Linked DNA regions of Oryzias latipes. The protein of the gene in region 1 interacts with the protein of each later gene in a pairwise test. Links are inferred from orthologs where the notes say so. Each region holds a gene or a part of one and is shown in the gene's direction. Other genes may lie near its edges.

Evidence for each region.
Region 2: the proteins of spg21 (region 1) and atpaf2 interact in binary tests that used the Homo sapiens proteins (3 or more experiments, as listed by UniProt). The two-hybrid records come from large-scale screens. The link is inferred for Oryzias latipes from reciprocal best matches to the Homo sapiens genes SPG21 and ATPAF2.

The regions. Positions count from the first base shown.
Region 1 is NC_019861.2:37,279,807-37,285,002, reverse strand, and holds the start of spg21 (maspardin), read left to right. Parts: upstream 1-1,675; 5' UTR 1,676-1,809; intron 1,810-1,975; coding exon 1,976-2,038; intron 2,039-4,903; coding exon 4,904-5,065; intron 5,066-5,196. Other genes in the region: AP-2 complex subunit alpha-2, read left to right, coding at 1-12. UniProt on the Homo sapiens protein: May play a role as a negative regulatory factor in CD4-dependent T-cell activation.
Region 2 is NC_019877.2:3,255,784-3,261,080, forward strand, and holds the start of atpaf2 (ATP synthase mitochondrial F1 complex assembly factor 2), read left to right. Parts: upstream 1-2,045; 5' UTR 2,046-2,289; coding exon 2,290-2,413; intron 2,414-2,499; coding exon 2,500-2,544; intron 2,545-2,641; coding exon 2,642-2,790; intron 2,791-2,871; coding exon 2,872-2,969; intron 2,970-4,424; coding exon 4,425-4,505; intron 4,506-4,628; coding exon 4,629-4,741; intron 4,742-4,856; coding exon 4,857-4,972; intron 4,973-5,217; coding exon 5,218-5,297. Other genes in the region: gid4 (glucose-induced degradation protein 4 homolog), read right to left, coding at 192-322, 394-495, 587-694, 1,045-1,104, 1,490-1,681. UniProt on the Homo sapiens protein: Plays a role in the assembly of the F1 component of the mitochondrial ATP synthase (ATPase).

The DNA.
Region 1 (5,196 bases):
GAACAGTTCTAGGCTCCGTGCCGCTGTCGCCGCTCTGCTCGCCGTGTTCCAGTCTGGAGAAGATTTGCTCCGCCGTGGAGTCGCCGTTTTTACCTGCTTGACATGGAAGCAAAGGTGTTTCTGCACTGATGTGTCACAGCGTTAAATGTGTGTGTTTGTGTGTGTTTTCACACTGAGCACCTTAGAAAACTTCCAGCTTTTTCAAACTTCCACATCGGCTTAGCAGCTGAAGGACTAACGGACGGAAACGTTCATCCAAATGTGCATTTATACCTTTAGGGAAAAGTAGAAATACACGACTTGTGTATTTCTACATCTGTTGGTACTTTTTTTTTTTACTTTAAATTGTGTGATGTGGGCGGGGCTTTTCATATTCTGAGCAGGGATTGGTTAGTGGGATTTTCTGCTCTCTGTGATTCTGTACGTTTGATACTTTCCAGGAGACTCAAACGTGTTCTAGACTAACCACAGTGGGTCTGGGCTCTGGCCCCGCCCCCTCACTAAGGTTTTGACCTTTGGACATTGGTGAATGAGTTCAAATGCGTCCATCCTTCAGACCTTCAGCAGTGCAGAACGCTGCTGCACAGGACCGTTCTGCATGTGTCGGATGGGAGATTCCAACGTCTTAAAGCACTTCTTCTGTCTTCTGGAGCTTTCACTGCCAAAACGTTTGTCATTGAGACGCTGATGTGCCTGGAAGAGAATCTGATGCAGCTTCTTCCCTTAATGTGTCCTTAAGTCTGTTTGGGGCTCCAGGACTTCCCTCAACTTTATAAAGTTTGGTAAAAAAATCATTTCTACTGTTGTCTTTTTGTGGTTTTCCTCCTTTTTATCTTCATTATCAAACGTTTGTTAAACAGCTAAACAGTTTAGGGTAAATAAATTCACTTTGGGGTTACGCTCATGTTTCACAAGCTTTAAAGCTGCCTTTAAGTTCCAAATGGGAAGAAAACATTTCCAATAAACTGACCTTCACAGTGGGGACGACCTGAGGAAGCAGTTTAAACCTTCCATAACTGATCTTCTCTGCGTCACGTCAGACACACTTGGAGGTGGTTAAACGATTTCAGATGAAGCTTTTAAAGAAACAGCTGGAGAACCGATGGGGGCCAAAGTCTGAACGACACACCAACACCGCTCTGGGAAACGGAACCAATCTACACATCTTGTCATTTCAGTTTCCTGTCCAGGTTAAACCACAAAAAAATGAGAACAGACAGGATTTCAATGAAAGACTGATCCACACTGAAGATGTAAATTATTCCATTTTACTTGTATGAATTGTAATTTCAGAACAATTTACGAACAAAAACGCATTTCATTCAAGAATTAAGTTTGTTTTAGAAAGTTTTTCATCCAAATATTTTGATGACTGAAGTTAAAATTATGAGAAGAATTACCTTGAGGTTTGACCGATGCGTTTGAGAAAAACGGGGATTCGGAGATTCGTTGGGTTTTGTGTGGAAAGAATCTCGAGTCTGTAATGTCTTCTTACATTTCTATTGATTCCATATTCAGACAAACATTGAATACATTTGAGTGCTACATTGTATAGGATGAAAACTGTAACGACAACAGAAATTAAGCAAGACTTAAGAAACCAAAGCGGCTTTCTTACTGCCGGAGAACAGGATTTTCAGAGCGACCGCGAACGCAGCACCGGAGAGGCTACTTGCGGAAGTGTGTGAAAGGAAAATCACATGACCGAGCTGCAGCCGCTCCAAGCGCTACCCGACATGGACAAACGTCTCCGGACACGGTGACCCTTCACCGAGCAGCGGCGTGGGCTCTGACACGGTGACGTCCACGGTGAGTGGGGCTGGCGGGGCGGTCGGTTTCTACGCCGTTAACGGGGTTACCGCGGGGTTCGTTTAGCAGCTAGCCGCTATTATGGCTAACAGCTGCCCCCGCGCGGAAGCAGCTGAGCCCGGACACCCCCGCACACACACTTGAGTCACCGTCTCTGTGTCCGCAGATGGAGGAGATCAAGGTGTCTCCAGACTACAACTGGTTCCGAAGCACCGTGCCACTTAAGAGGGTAAGTTCCCGCCTCGTCACGCGCCTCACTCCGGAGCAGCTGGACCGTCGCCGATGCGATGAGGGCTAACGCTCGCGCGCGTTGAAATTCTTATGAAACACCTGCTCTCGTGGTCACGTGATACAAAAGCACCCCAGGTGTGAAGGGGTCCATTCCGTGACGGGTCATCGGGATTCTGTCCTGCTGGATCAACCTTCAGGTTCTGATGAGCCGAACCTGTTCAGAACCGAGCTTCAGGACAAACACAGCTGAACTCCTTAAACCCAGAGAGGTTATTTTTCTGAAACTACATGCACACCGTTCAGACCAGGTGTTCACACTGCGCCTGCAGGGAGGGGCTTCTTCTTCTTCTTCTTCTGTTTACTAGCCTCAACCTACAGTCGGAGGAGGCTTGCTGTGAAATGTCCTCCAGACTTTTGTGACTGACTCTGTCGTAGAATTCGGTTGGTTCTGTAAATGAACCCTTTAATCGCCGTGGCTTTAGCGCCCGTGTTCTTTACCGTACCTGGTTTTAAAGCCCTCCTATTCAAAGGTTGAGGATTACTTTATATGGAAATGAGGGCGTGGTCTTTAAGCTGACAGGTGGTGGTAGTATCATGGTCTCTAAAGCACACGTTAGCTTGTCACGCTGTCTAAGAAACGTTTTACAAATGTTATGCACTAATACTTGATCTTGTGACCTGCTTCCCTTCTGTTCAATAAAATCACCATGAAAACAGTTGACAAACAACAAAATAAGACCAAGAACGCACTGCTTAGACCACGCCCCTTCGCCATTACGTGTTTTCATTTTGTCCCTTCTGTCTCACCTGTTTCCTGTATTCACTTTTTAAACTGGTTTATGGTTTTTCTGGAGAACCACAGTTTGGAAAAATGAAGCTCCGCTCAAACAGATGTTTGATAAAATCATAAAGTTTTTATGATTTTGCTCAAATGTTGTCTTTTTTCAAATTTTATTTACATTCAGATTGTTGTAAACATTGTTTTTGTGGTTAGTGAATATAGTAGGAAGACTCTGCATCTCATTCCACAGCAGAAAAAAAAGGTTTTACCTTGGAAAAAGGAAGCTTGGAGCCTGACAGCTGTGTTTCTATTTTAGTCTAAGAAAATATCACAACGTTTTCTGCTAAAGATGTTTAATTTAAACCTCACAAATCCCCTCATGAGTGTCAGGCGTCTCTGCATTTAGTTTGTTAGGTTTTTTTCAAGATTTGTGGTCAATTATTGCTTAAACAATCGTTCTGATTGCTTTAGTTCATGACTTTTGTGTTGAGTTCTGCGTGAAAATGAGAAATCTGAGGCTGGATTTCAGCGGCACGGATCGCCCTCTTGGATTAAGATGAGATTAGCTTTCAGAAAACGGGTTTGGTCCTCGGATCTGCTGTTTGGTGGAACAACGGCTCGCGTTGTCTTTTGGAATAAGACGATTATTCCCGTCGGGTTTTTAGCTCACAGATCTCTTAAAAATGGGGATTTGTTTGGCGTTGGAGCCGACACCCGGCTGGTTCCCGCAGCTGGAGGTTGAGCCGCTGCTGCTGAGGCTCTGAGAGGTGGAGAGTCATGTGACGGCGTTCATCACCCAGCCGTCACATGCTTCCCTCAGCTTCACACGGGCATCACATGTGCTGCTTTTACTGGCACGAATCCACTCGTTTTCCCTCTGCTCACTCATGCACTTCAGGAGAGATGCATTCTGGGACAGAGAGGTTGAGTGACTGATGCAGGTCAGCTTCTGGCAGCACGGCTTAAAACCCCCCAGACAAGTTTGATCTGAAGGATTTAAGATTTTCAGAAAAACCTCTCTGCAGATTCTTTTGTTACCACTGACTGTATACCGGAACTGGACGGAGGGGCCCCTCCCCTTTGCTACAAACAGGAAGTATCTGCAAATCAACAGCTGTCATTCTGTTGGTCAGAAGAACCGTTCTGGATCGGATACCTTTTTGTTTTTAAACATCTACTTGATAAAACTCTTTTTTTTTCCTGTATCTCAAGTTAGTCAAGTCATTAACTGGCCAATCAGACGCCTCAATAAAAGTAGGCGGAGCCTGTTGACCCCCTTGTCCAGTGTTCAAAACGTTTACAGCTTTCCAGTGGTAGGGGCGTGGCCTTCCAACAAGCTCACTCCTGATTGGTGGGAGGGGCTGCCATAGAACAAAGCGTCAATGCTAACATTTTAGCTGTTAGCACATGAATTCTTCAACTGGATGCTATTTGTTCTGGTTTTGCTTTTTAAGATGCAGAATTTTCTTTTTCTTTTTTTAGTTGGTGTTTTTCAGCCTTTGGCTCCGGTTGATCATTTTGGTTGAACTCGGCCTTTTGAGTTCTTCTTGTGGTCGCGGTTCACTTCTGACGTTTGTGCTGCTGATCGTTTAGTGTTCTGCTTCCTGATTGGCTGTCGTCAGTCCGTCTCCTGAACAGAACCCATCAGATGGTTGTTCTCCTGCTATCGTCTCATGTTTCTCCAAAGGTCTGACCTGTCAGAGTGAAACGTCTAGAAAGTCTTCAGTCAGGAGTTTTCTGCCTTCAAACATCTAGACTCTAACGCCGCCATTTTCATCCATCGCAGGTTATTTTTTACAACAGAACCCGTGTGATGAACAAACAACCGAACCCTTTATGGACCGTCATGACGCTGTTGTATTTTCGTAGTATTTAGAGATTCATTTGTATTTGCTTTTTTTTGGCCTTGTTTGGCATGTTTCTGCTTCTCGCTGCACTTTTCACATTTTTCCTCTTTTGTTAAACTTTTGTGATTTTAGATTTTAGCATTTCTTTCTTTGGAGCGTTCTCTTCTGGTTCCGTTGGTTCCGTTGGTTCCCCGCCCTCTCTGAGGCGAGTTCTCTGGTTTCCTGTTTCCTCCAGATCATCGTGGATGACGACGACAGTAAGGTGTGGTCTCTGTACGACGCCGGCCCGAAGAGCGTGCGCTGTCCCATCATCTTCCTCCCGCCGGTCAGCGGGACGGCCGAGGTCTTCTTCCAGCAGGTTCTGGCCCTGACGGGCTGGGGGTACCGGGTCATCTCGGTAAGCAGGTTCATCCTGTTCTCCTGCACATCTTCACGTTAACTCAATCCTTTATGTTTACATGTCATTTATCCGCATCGGTTGATTCCGGTCGCTGATGAAGGTTCTGATGAAGAGTCCGGCCTGAACGG
Region 2 (5,297 bases), on another chromosome or scaffold:
CAGACGTTCGGACGAAAACGATGGACTTCTCTGCGATAAAAACGCAAACGATTGGTTGTTTTCTCCTAAATCTGATGCCGTCTCCGTCAGGATGCCTGTGACGTCGAGTCATCTTTTCCATGTCAGTGCAAATCTGTGAAAGGATGTGAGATCTACTTATTTTTCAAACCAACGCAGGTGTGATTCGTTACCATTCGGAGCTCCTGTGGTAGTAGTAGCCCTCGATTGTTGCCGTAGATTTCTGAAAGCAGATGTAGTAGAATCCTGCAAAGGAGGCGCCGCTGATGTCTTTGATGGTGTGGTCAGGAACTAGGAACTGCTCCTGCAGACAGAGAGGAGCTAAATGAGAGCGGCTGCATCTTGGAGTTCACTAGCAAACAGGTCGAGGCTTACCTTCCACCTCATAAAAATATAGTCCGAGTTCTTTAGATCCTCGTAGTCGAACTCGTCAGAGTTAAAAGTCTTCGCATACCGGTAGAAAGCCTGGAACTTGCCCTTGGTGCCAAAAGAGAGCGCATATAAAGTTACGGCGAGACGGCCACGTCGCCGCGGACGCCGAGCGTGGAAAAAGTGTCGTCTTACTTACCCAGTGCTTACGATCCACGTCCTCGTCTGCATCCCACTTTCGGGTGAGGAACGGCCTCTTCCTGCTGATGATCTCCCCGGCGAAAAAAGTGGTCAGGGTCGGATATTCCTACGAAAATGTGCAACTGGATTATACCAACAATCTTGTTTTGTAAACTTTACAGCGTTAAGGCTAGGTTATCGCTATGTATAAATCATTAATAGAAAATTAAGACGTTTAAAAATATTCTAAGCAAATCGATCCCTTAATTAAAAATATCTGCACTTCAGAGGCAGAACAAAACAAAAAACTATGTAGAATTATTTGGCTCACGATCAGTTGGACTAATATTTAGTCATTGCAAGAAAAATTACACAAAAGGTGGAGGAAAAACTTGCAAAAACATTTAAAATTCTAAGTCCAGTTCATCCACATGTACATATTCCAACATGAATCCTCTAAATATGAACAGAACTGACCTCTGTGAGTCCTTTTATTTTCAAATAGCCACACAAGTAGGAATCCTCCATTGTGACATGCTGTAACAAATAATAAACAGAACTTTTAGGTCAAATCTCCACTGAATTTATGTTAAAAAAAATAACAAAAACAAAACTTGACGGTCAGAAGCTGCAGTTTCTCAAAAAATGTCAACAGCCCCTAATGTTGCAACATTTAAGCTAGTTGTGATAGTTTGTGTTAATTTAAACTGGTAGAAAATTGTGCAGCTGGTTGTTGTTAGTCGGTGTTGTTTGGGCGCAGTTGCTCTGCTACTCCCACCACTACACCCACAGTTGGTCCAGGACAGGCCGGGACCCCCTTTTTTTTTCAGCTGTCACTCTTCCAGCCGCCACTTTGACACATCACCCGAAAGCCTCGCGCTCGCAGTACGAAAAGCAACATTTCCGCCTCGGTGCCCCCCACCTGTAAGACCACCTCAACGTCGTAGGAGTTCCCTTTGCTTTTCTGGTGGCCTCTGAACTTGGAGCCGCTGTACAGCAGCGACGTGACAACACCGGGCTGGTGAGTGTTTATCGGCGGCAGCGGGATAAGCGAGGCCGAGGATGCAAAGGCCGCGGCCGGGAACTCGCTGAGATATCCAGCGGGGACAGGCATAGCTCCAGCTTCGCAGGCTGAACTCCAACCGCGGTCAACGGCCGTGCGGCAGCGGGACTCGGTCAACCTGTACGACCAGCCAGAAAGAAAGTCCCGAGGAGGTCCTCAAACATTCAAATTGCTCTTAATTGCGCCACAGTTCAGTTTGCGAAGCATCAAGCTCCCCAGAACTAAAAGTGGACTTCGAAGCTGCGCTGTAACCAGTAGCAACGGCTTATCTCATTGGTCCAACAACTTCACCCTCGAAGATCGTCGACGCTCATTGGCTGAGCAGGCGGAAGAGTATTCGTGAACATTTTTGATGTAGTTTTTAAGTGATGTGTAAGCGTTAGCAGTGCCAAAAATAAACTACATTTCCCAAAGCATGCAATGAAAACATTTTGTAGCTTTGTAGCATCGAAGGTCACACGCGTGGTTTTGAACCGATGTGTTACTGTAAGCTAGATGAAAACCTTAATGTTTAACAACAGATTTATTGTAGAGTCAGGTTCATTATACACTCAAGATCTGTTTGTTCAATGTGGTACTTTAGTGCGTGAGAGACCGGCTTAAGAAATCGCTAGTGAATCGTCTTTTTTATTGTAAACAGTATACGTCCAAATTTAGGTATGAATATGTTTAGACGTGTTTTTCAACTTCGAAATTCCTTTGGAAATGTAATTTCAGTTTGCAAGTCGTGTCCCAGTCATCAGTACTCCAAGTGTTTGTCAAAATACTCCACTGCATCTACAGGTAAACGTGTTTATTTTGACATTACTATTATTAATTATCAATATGCTGTGTGCTAATCATGTGCTACATGTTTTGCTATTTGACAGAGAGGAAGAGATTTTATCAAGATGTCAGCATATCTCAAGGAGATGGTGAGTCTTATTTAAAATTTAAAATAATTTTATTTATTGTTCCAGGGAAGACCAAGATTGATTATATTCTCTAATTTTGTGACGATTTTGTCCATAGATGGTTTGTATGAAATAAATCTGGATAGAAGGAAACTCAAAACTCCAGGAGGGAAGCTGTTCACAGTACCAAATGAAGCCCTGGCTATCGCCGTGGCAACAGAGTGGGATGCTCAGAGGGGGACACTCAAGTTTTATACCATGCACCTTGTATGGGATATTTTTTCTGACCTATTTACACCACAGTGTGTAGCCAGCCGTACTCATATGCCGGTTGAACTTTTCTTGCAGACCACTTTGTGCAACACGGCTCTGGACAACCCCACCCAACGCAACAAGGAGCAAATGATCAATTCAGCGTTGAAGTTTTTGGAGACTGACACGATCTGGTATGGATTTAGCTTTTATACTGTTTCTGTCCAGAGTTGATGATTATTTGGCTCATTTATGCCGGTTACTCAGTTTAAAAGATAAAACACCTGTATTTCAAATCAATATTTTACTTGAATGGAGAAAAAATGTTCTTAATCTAGAGAGAAAAGCAACAAGGACTTCAAAATAAAAGCACCTAACAGAAATACCAAAACAATAGAAAATTCAAAATTAGGTTTGTTTAGATAAAAAGTACCCAAACAAATCCTGGACTTGTGAGATGCAACTACATCTAATATGTTTTTTTTTTTTTCTATTTCTCTTTGTAAAAAATAAAACGTTATCTGCCATTCTGTGCTCTTTTTTTGCAATTTTTTTTGCAAATAATAGTCAAAATGCAATTACTTTTTAGCTTTTTGAAAATGTTCGAACCTATTAATATAATTTAGACTTTTTTTTTCATTATTATAAATTATACTTGTATAATGAGATATATTGTTTAACTGTCAACTATGTATTAGATAATCCCTTTAGTTCTTTAAATTTATATATTACATATTTATTTATTTCCCTTGTCTTTTTAACTTTTTACACATATTTAAAAAAAACTTATTATCTTATTCAGAATTTAATTTAAACATTTTATTGTGGTCCTGAAATATTCAACTTCTTTACACTTGTCTGCTTAATTGTTTTATGGATACCTTAGTAGTTTTAGCAAACAGATTTGCATCAGTCTTTTATTTACAATTATTATGTTTTAGCTACTTTATTGTGTAGGTGTGAATTTGTAATACATTTATTGGCACTATATATCTTTTTACATTTTCTATTTACTTTAGCATATTAGCTTAGGATTTAGCAACGTTCACTTTCTTAATTTCTTTAGCTAATTAACAATTTTATTTTACTGTTTTTTTGTGTTGATCCTTTTGTTATTGTGATTATTATTAATAATTATGCAGTGTATTTTTAGTTATCTCCCTTTATTTGACTAATGTAGCATTTTGCACTAAACTGTAATGCCACTGTAAAAGAAAGCAGATGTTTTTAGCTTATTGCAGAAAACTAGCATTTTTGTTTATGGAAATAAAATAAAAGAAATGAATTTTGGAACTTCTATGAATTTCATATACTAGATATTTGCAGGAGAAACTTTTTTTTCTCGGTCCATTGTCAGATGATTCCAGACTCCAAAGCATTAAAAATAAAGAATTACTGTGAAAATGAATGCAACAAACTTTTTCTTTGACCTAATTTCTTTAATAGGACCATCATTGTCTGGCCAGTAAAGTGAAAGCAAGGTCTGTTTTGTTTTCACCGGAGATGGTTGCCATATACCTGACTGTGGAGCAGGCTGTGCTGCTCTCTTATAGCATCTGCCATTTGGCTGCCTCTTTTTTTTAAGTTTCATTTTCAGATTAAGTTACCTTGTTGTCACAAAACAGTGATTTATTTATGCTTTGATTCAGTTACAGAGTGGAGGATCCTCCTGGTTTAGTGGACCTACAGAAGAACGAGTGGGATCCGGTTCTGCACTGGATTGAAAACCGGTAAAAAAAATAAAACAAAAGCATTAATCTTCACATCTTGTGCAGTAGACTTCCAAATGATGTAGGAACTGTCTCAGTAAACCATACATTATTATGCATTTTCTCTGTACTATTGCATGGCAGATACAATGTCACTATTGGATCTTCATCGAGCATTCTGGGTCCTGAAATTCCACAGGCAACCAAGGAAACTTTTCGACAGCATCTCAATTCTTACAGCCTCTGGTCCCTGACGGGTAAGACATCTCAACTCCAGAAAACGTGATCATCTATAGATCTCAACTTGTGCAGGCTGAGATGATGTATTTATTGTTTTTGAAATGTTTAAGAATTGTGTCTGTTTCTTTGCAGGACTTGAGTTTGTGATCTCGCAGCTGAAGTCTATTTTGCTTTCACTGGGGATGGTTGACCGATACCTGACAGTGGAGCAGGCGGTGCTGCTCTCCAGACTGGAGGAAGAATACCAGGTGGGAAAAGTCCATTTGATTTACCATCAATCTTTTATAATATTTACTATACTAAGACTTTTTTGTTTGATTTTTGTCTGTTTTAAGAAACAGATATTATTCTATTAATACAATGATATCTAACTATGTAGTGGGAAAAAAAAACCCCATTGTAACTAGGTTTATTTTATATCAAATTTGTTTTTTGAATATCTGTTGTTTAATGCTCTTTTCTTGAGTTCAGAACTCTGTTTTTCTTATTGCAGATAAGTCACTGGGGAAACGTAGAATGGGCTCATGACTACGACATGTATGAGCTCAGGGCGCGGACTGCTGCTGGAGCTCT